Oryzias latipes: one gene and its partner. The protein of the gene in region 1 interacts with the protein of each later gene in a pairwise test. Links are inferred from orthologs where the notes say so. Each region holds a gene or a part of one and is shown in the gene's direction. Other genes may lie near its edges.

Evidence for each region.
Region 2: the proteins of garem1 (region 1) and growth factor receptor-bound protein 2 interact in binary tests that used the Homo sapiens proteins (3 or more experiments, as listed by UniProt). The link is inferred for Oryzias latipes from reciprocal best matches to the Homo sapiens genes GAREM1 and GRAP2.

What each region holds. Positions count from the first base shown.
Region 1 is NC_019878.2:10,713,101-10,717,217, forward strand, and holds the start of garem1 (GRB2-associated and regulator of MAPK protein 1), read left to right. Parts: upstream 1-1,317; 5' UTR 1,318-1,842; coding exon 1,843-1,963; intron 1,964-2,660; coding exon 2,661-2,801; intron 2,802-2,992; coding exon 2,993-3,123; intron 3,124-4,117. Other genes in the region: ncf2 (neutrophil cytosol factor 2), read right to left, coding at 1-160.
Region 2 is NC_019866.2:2,931,174-2,934,673, forward strand, and holds part of growth factor receptor-bound protein 2, read left to right. Parts: intron 1-57; coding exon 58-149; intron 150-265; coding exon 266-385; intron 386-1,431; coding exon 1,432-1,618; intron 1,619-3,500. UniProt on the Homo sapiens protein: Interacts with SLP-76 to regulate NF-AT activation. Binds to tyrosine-phosphorylated shc.

The sequences.
Region 1 (4,117 bases):
CCAAGTTCTGGTTAAGCAGATGCAGACAGCCGATGTTGAAACAAATCTTGGAGTTTGGCTCAGGAATGGCCAAGAGAATCCGGAGAGCTTCCGAAAAATCCTGTTTGTCAGCACAGGTTACGCCGTCATCCCACTGTCGCAGAGTGTCCACAAAAGACATTTTGGCTGCCGCTGAGACACAGTGACTGAATTGAGGAAGTTTCTCTGATTTATGCCATGAAAAACAGGAAGTTGATGACAACGTTCAATGAATTTGCATCAACGCCATGTGCTCTTGAGTCCAAGTCAATATAGTAAGAATCGTGGTTTGATCTGTGAATCGTTGATCTGAAAAAATTATGGGTGTTTAAATATTTACTGTAGTATTTTAAGAGTAAATAATGAAGTAAAGTGCAATAGTAGTACTCCCCACCTCATCATTATCTTTGGTTAATTTTATGATTTACATGGATTTGTATTAGCAATACCGTATTTTTTTCATTTTTTTTCATTTACTCATCACAAAGTCTACCTTAAGTTAAGATTTTCCAAAACTTCACTGATTAAAAATGAATTAATAAAAATTGTGTGAACCCATATATTTAGCCAAAACAAAAGAACAGGTTATTTTATTACCTCAATGTTTTTTAAATTTATTCTTTTATTTTATGTGCCTTAAGAGATAAATGAAAACTTATGAGTAATTAAAACATTATTTTAACATTATTTAGCAAAGTTTGAGGCTTAAATCTGGCATTACAGTCTGCAAAACAAAATAGAATGAAAAAACAAACAAAAAAAAAAGGTTACATCTCAGGTTTTAATAGACTTTTTCTTTAAGTTATATAGATTAGTGTAAACATTAACAAAGTTATAAGAAAATAAATTATTTTAGAGTTTTGATTTTTTTTCTCTTGTCCTTAAAATTGTTGAATTGTTGGCCAACACTCTTTAAAATTTTTCTTATTTCCCCAACCTTTTAGCGAGACAAAAATATACTTTCTGGTACTTATCTTGAATTAATTAAATGCATTTTCTTTAGTATGTAGTAAATAGTAAATACTTCTTCCATTCCATTAAAATCCAATTTCTACATCTGTTGGAACAAACACTTTTATTTCAAAAGCTAAGATGTAAAATTAGATAAGATATAAAATAGCTAAGCCATAAAGTTAGAAAATGTATCGATTGGTTATTACGAAATGATACGAAACTTCACAATTTTTGGAATATATTTTATTTACTAAAATAGATTTTTAATTTGTAATCCAGACTATTTTATCAGAAGGAGTTCAATTGTTTGTGAGAAGTAAAAAATAAATAAAAATAAGCAAAAAAACAAACAAAAGAAAACGCAGTGAAATTATTGAAGTGGTTATAAAAAATTAAACCTAATGGAAAAGCCTAAAGAATGCACTTTATTTGGCCTTTTCCCTTCTTTTGTTAATGTTTTATCACCTGCTATGTACTTGTATAATTTTGTTATAATTTGAGTTGTTGTTCCGGGATTTAAATCTTGTTATTCATCAATTTTAATTGGAGGGGGAAAAGGGAAAGGCTTTTATTTAATAAAAATAAAATTGTAGAAAGTGACGTATTTCCGTTAGAATAGTTAGCTTGATACTGCCGTCGCTACTAAACAAACATGGCTTGGCTACTTTTTCTAACAACGAACCTTTTGGATACGTAGGGAAACTTAGAGGGAACTATGCAGCTACGACTTGGGAACGTCATGTGCATGACACAACTGCATAGATGAAGAGCAGCTATAATTGTGTAGCTAGTTTGCTCGGGAAAGCTTTTTTGTGACCGTGTTTTGCACCAGTTAGCTCAAAAAGTGGCTAACTAACTTAAGCTAGCAAAATGGACCTTGGAACGATGTTGTACAATAACTTAAAGGATGTAACGTGGAGCACGACGTCTCTGCCGCTAGACCAGCTGGTCAGTGCGTACAAGTTGCCACAAATTGTCATGCTGGATAACGGTTAGTAACTTACTTCAAGTTTTATAGCTACCATGCTAGCCAGTTAAGGCTTCTGCTTATCAGCTCTAGTCTAAGCTAATGAAAAACAAAGATTCGCTTTAGTGCAATAATGCTATAAACTGATTGATATAAAAGCAACCTTGATGGTAATGAATAAGAATTTAGGTCATGAAGTAAAAACGAAAAGGCTATTTTGCTAATCAAAGGAAAACGCTGAAGGTGTAAAAAAACAACAACATTGCCTTCACAACATCATGAGTCCCCTAGTATGTCTACACTTTATTTAACTAGAAAGTGTCTTTGACAAAAGTTAACATCTACTTAGTTAAATTTGTGTTTTTCATTTCATAATTTAAATGTATAAAACATGCAGAAATTGTGTGGGATTATGTCTAATGGATTTTAAATTACCTTTTAAAATGTCTCTTTTAGCAGGTGATGGTTATCCATAATGTAATGTTTTGAAGTAAAAAGGCTCGTGTCCAGTACTTGATTCATTTTTAAAAAACTTTATTTGTAAGTTGAACATACATTTTTATGTGTAATTTCTGACACATTTATTTATTCAAATCTTAATATTTTCCTTTTCAGGAAGCAACTCACTGGATAGACTATATTATTAAAAGCTTCATCCAGACCTGATTGTATCATAAACTCTTTGTGTACTTTGGTTGATTGTTAAACTTCCTTTCTGCAGCTCAGTTGGTTGAGGGCCTCAGAGAAAACGACTACCTCTTGATTCATTCCTGCCGTCAGTGGACAACTATAACTGCTCACAGTCTAGAGGAGGGACATTATGTGATTGGGCCTAAAATAGAGATCCCAGTTCATTATGAAGGTAAGGAGCCGCCATGAAGATGGTGCTTCCTTTGAAATGGCTCTTTCTTATCTAAATTATTCATCGTGTATGCTTTCAAAAGTTTTCTGAGTGATTATTTTGAGAAACTGATGAACCACCAACTGCTTACTTCTCATGTGATGGCAGAAGCGATGGAAAATATCAGCACTAATCATTCGTGTTCTGCTTAGGCCAGTTCAAGTTGCTGGAACAGGACAGAGATGTCAAGGAGCCCGTGCAATACTTCAACAGTGTGGAGGAGGTGGCCAAAGCCTTCCCCGAAAGAGTGTACGTCATGGAGGACATCACGTTTAATGTTAAGGTACACTTTCCCCTTCCAAAGTGATCATTTTGATGAATAGGACCGAGATGAGCATCCGAATACTCAGATATACGCCATCTTTTCCAGAAAACTGTACCAATATTTGTGACGTGGAAATATAGTGGAATATATATAAAAAATAAATTATCACTGTAAAATACAGAAAAATGTTGGATTTTAAGTTTAAAAACTAAACAAACTGAATGGACTTCTGTCACAGGAAGTAAACAAATTTTCAGAGTAAAGTGTCAGAGAAGGTTCTCGTTTTCAAAGTAAAGCTATCAAGTGTTTTCTCAGATACAAAAAATGGGAGTAAAATTTTGAAATAAATTCTGAAAAAAACATTTTATTTAAAAAGTAGTTGATAATTTAAAGAAAAATTAGAATGAATAGGACATTTTAAAATATTATTAAAATCTTCTGTTCAGTTATGTGACGTACCAGAACATGTCTGCAAAATATTCATCTAAAGTGTGGAGGTTTTTTGTGTTTTCCACTAAAGATGAAAACAGTGAGTTAATAAAATATGTTTGCTGGAAACTCTGCTGTTAGTTTAGATTAAAGAACAGTTCCTATTTATTACAGAGTCACTTTTATTGAGGTGTTGCTGTGTCTTCATTTATTGTTTTCTTATCATCCATCTACTGGAACTTTAGTCAGCCAAACTCTGAAGATGGAAAAACTGTGGAGAACACTTCCAGGACTGGATGTTAAACGATCCAAAGCAACAGTGACGATTATGTTTTGTACACTACTGAATTTGACCAGGAAGGTTACAGAAAAACTTACACAAGTGTGACATTATTTAAAGTGACAAATACCTTTTCTTTCTTTTAAAATATTTGAGCTTTTATTTATGTTTTGCTGATTCTTGTATCCTGTTCTGAACAAATGTGTAAATGATGTTTATAGATCCAACAAAAACACGTACATGAGGCGACCATTCATTCATAATATATTAAATGGAAAGAATTGTGGTTTGATCTGTGAATCG
Region 2 (3,500 bases), on another chromosome or scaffold:
GAGGCCCTCGTCCCAGCTTCTCGGTACCGAACCGGCTCTCTTCTGTGTTTGTGGCAGATTATAAACTTCGAAGAGGAGTGGTGTAAGGCGGAGCTCAACGGACAGGAAGGCTACGTTCCGAAGAACTACCTGGAGATCCAGCTTCCAGCGTAAGAACCGTCCTGTGCTCTCGCGCTGGAACGTGTCGGTTGAAGCTGCAGCAGCAGCAGCAGCAGCAGCCGCCGCCGCCGTTTGCATCAGATAATCTGCAGGCGTCTCCGCTCAGGTGGTTTCAGGAGAACACCAGCCGCAGCGGCGCAGAGGAGATCCTGAGGCACAGAGACGTGGGAGACTTTGTGATCCGAGGCTGCCAGACTTCTCCAGGAGACTTCTCCATCTCTGTCAAGTAGGTGGCGCCGCTGGGCTGAAGGAGCGTTCAGGAACGAGCTGACGGTCGAGTGAGTCTGAGACCCACCGCCGGAAAAAAGTGCAGAACTGAAGGTCTCAGGACAAACACGACTAACGAATGATTCAAACCTCTTTCTTTAGGCTGGATTTCCTCAGTTTCCTTTTAAAAATCACACAAACTAAAAAAAAAATGTAGAAATTTATTGAGGATTTATGATTCTTCGTTTGAATCAAAACAAAAAAACTTTTGAGCCGTTTTTTTTATTTTTATTTTGAGCGATATCTTCATTTATTGTCAAACTTTGTTTTTTACTAAAAAAATTATAGACAGTAAGGGATTTTTGTTGTTTATCAGTGACCGATGTGATTAAAATAGTTAATAAAGTGTTGAATTTTCCCGTCTGACCTTTGAGGAGTCACTGAATGAGCGTAGGGTCCATAAAATAAGATTTTTTTCTCTCTTCACACCTCCATTAGGAGGTTTAATGTTTGTTTACATCTGTTTTGATGCAAACACTTCTCCTGTTTGGCTCATTTGCTGTCAGACGTTTAGTCGGTTTAAGGTTTGGTCTCAAAAACATTTTTTTAATCACCCTTTATTCTCAGGAGTTTCTGCTCTTTAAGTTTGTAGTTTATAAATGGAAGAGATGGACGTAAAACAAAAGAATAAATGAGAAAAAAGTCAGCGTGACGTGTCTCTACCTTCAGATTTTCAAAGTAAGTCAGTAAATCAAAATGATAAACAAAGAATTTCAGAGTAAAAGCCTTCACACTCGAATGTGGATCATGAAGTGTGTGGACGGACGGCGAGGGTTTGAATCCATGTCCACGCTGCAGACGTTAGCCACATTATCTCAGAGAGGTGGAGAAGTTCTCCTCCAACAGGAAAAGCTTAAAGGTATTTCTGAAAATGCTTTTAAAAAAGCAAAACAAAAATCTGAGGTCTGCTTGCTTCTTCTGGTGAATTTTTAGCCCCGCCCCCAAGTCTCCAGGGTGGTTTTTTTTTCTTTCTCTACGCTAATGCGCGTCTCCGCCTCCGCTCAGGCATGAGAGCGACGTGCAGCACTTCAAAGTCATGAGGGACAACAAGGGCCAGTACTTCCTGTGGTCGGAGAAGTTCATGTCCCTGAACAAGCTGGTGGAGTTTTACAAAACCACGTCCATCTCCAAGACCAGGAAGATCTGCCTGAAGGACGGCAGCTCCAACAGCCGGAGCCCCGCCTCCGCACAGGTACACGCCACCTGCTTTCCTAATGATGCGTGCGCAATAAATGGTCAATTTAAGAGGTTTTAGATGGATGCAGGGAAGACGTTTCCATAGCAACCAGGCAGCTTTTCCAATCATAGATTGACTCAACTTTCCTTCAACACAGTTTAGTTTCAGAATAAAGTGAAGAAAAATTTTAACTCCACGTCTGCGTGTGTTACCTAAATGATTTTCAAAATAAAATATCAAAACTCTAAAGAAAGACAAAGATTTAGATTTTAGAGCCTTTTCCTTTCAGTTTCTCTCTTTTCATTTCAAGTTCTATTTAAGAAGACTTCTGTTTGGTTTGTTTTTATCGTTATTTTAAATAAAACTGCACTAAATGTACACAAATCACAGCCTGCAGACCTTTATTGCCCACTATAAGCACAAAGAGAATTGAGTCAAGATCATAAATAGTTGTTTTTGCTTCTTAGAAAAGATTTTCTTTCGTCAGTTTCCACGTCCACAATGAGATAAAATAATAAAAAAATAATAAAAAATAATGAAAAAAGTGTGCCTAAAACAAACTAGGAGATGAGAAAAACAGCAATAAAAACAAAATAAATATAAAGCAATAAAAGTTTTTGTGACTCTGTAAATATATGTTCTCTATAAAGATAAAGAATAATTCGTTTTTTAGCAGGTATGTTAAATTCAGTGAAATTATATTATCAATATTTTTAGCCATTTGTTTACATAAATATCTACAAAAACATTATTTGCATGAGGGGGTTGTGTAAAAAAAAGATACCAAAAACCAGAAGTGAAAATACTGTGTTAATGAGAACATGAAAGTGGAGGAGGAGGAAGAGGAGGAGGAGGAAGAGGAGGAGGAGGAGGACTGTGTGCCAAAAGACACTTGATGAAAACCACAAAATCAAACAGAAACTGCCGTCATTTCTAGATATTATTCAGTGTCGCTTCTGTTTCTGCTGCACGGTGGCGCAGTGGTTAGCGCTCTTGCCTCACAGCAAGAAGGCCCCTGGTTCAAGTCCCGGCTGGGGGACATGAAAAACACTACATCAATGGGGGACCTTTCTGTGTGGAGTTTGCATGTTCTCCCCGTGTATGCGTGGGTTTTCTCCGGGATCTCCGGCTTCCTCCCACTGTCCAAAAACATGCTTCATAGGTGAATTGGCAACTCTAAATGGTCCATAGGTGTGAGTGTGAGAGTGCATGGGTGTGTGATTGTGGACCTTCTACCCTGCGACAGACTGGCGACCTGTCAAGGGCATCCCCTGCCTACGCCCAAGTAGCCGGGATAGACTCCAGCAGCCCCGCGACCCCGAAAGGGACAAAGTGGTACAAAAAATGGATGGATGGGCTTCTGTTTCAGGAGCCTGCCTTCTTTTAAAGTCCACAGCTTTTAATTTGAAAATCTAAAACTGGTAAACATGCAGTTTGTATTTAAAAAAAATCACTTTTTTATTTTTATCATAAAATTAAAATAATGATGTCTTTATCATGTATTTTCTTTTGGTTGTCTTTTTCTAAATCTCAGATAAAAGTTTAGACGTCAAATTCACTTCTAGACGTTCGTTTTTCTGTAGAAACGGGGGGGAATTTCATTTGAAAGTGGGTCAAAAAGGAGATTTAAAATATTTCTAGTTTCTGTTTGAAGCAGAAGTTCAGAAGCGTTTCCAGAGGCACACAAACACACATACACACACAGCTTTAACATGCTGAGGTTCGAGTAGCCTGAAGAGATGGTTCAGAAGTTCAGGCAGATGGAGTTCAGGGAATAAAATGAGGAGCGTGAGGAGGCGACGAGCATCAGGAGGCTCTCTCCTCCTGAAAATGGCAGCTCCTCTTGAAGGGCTTCAGGGTCACAGGTCGCGTCATCTCTAGACCAAATCAAAGCTTG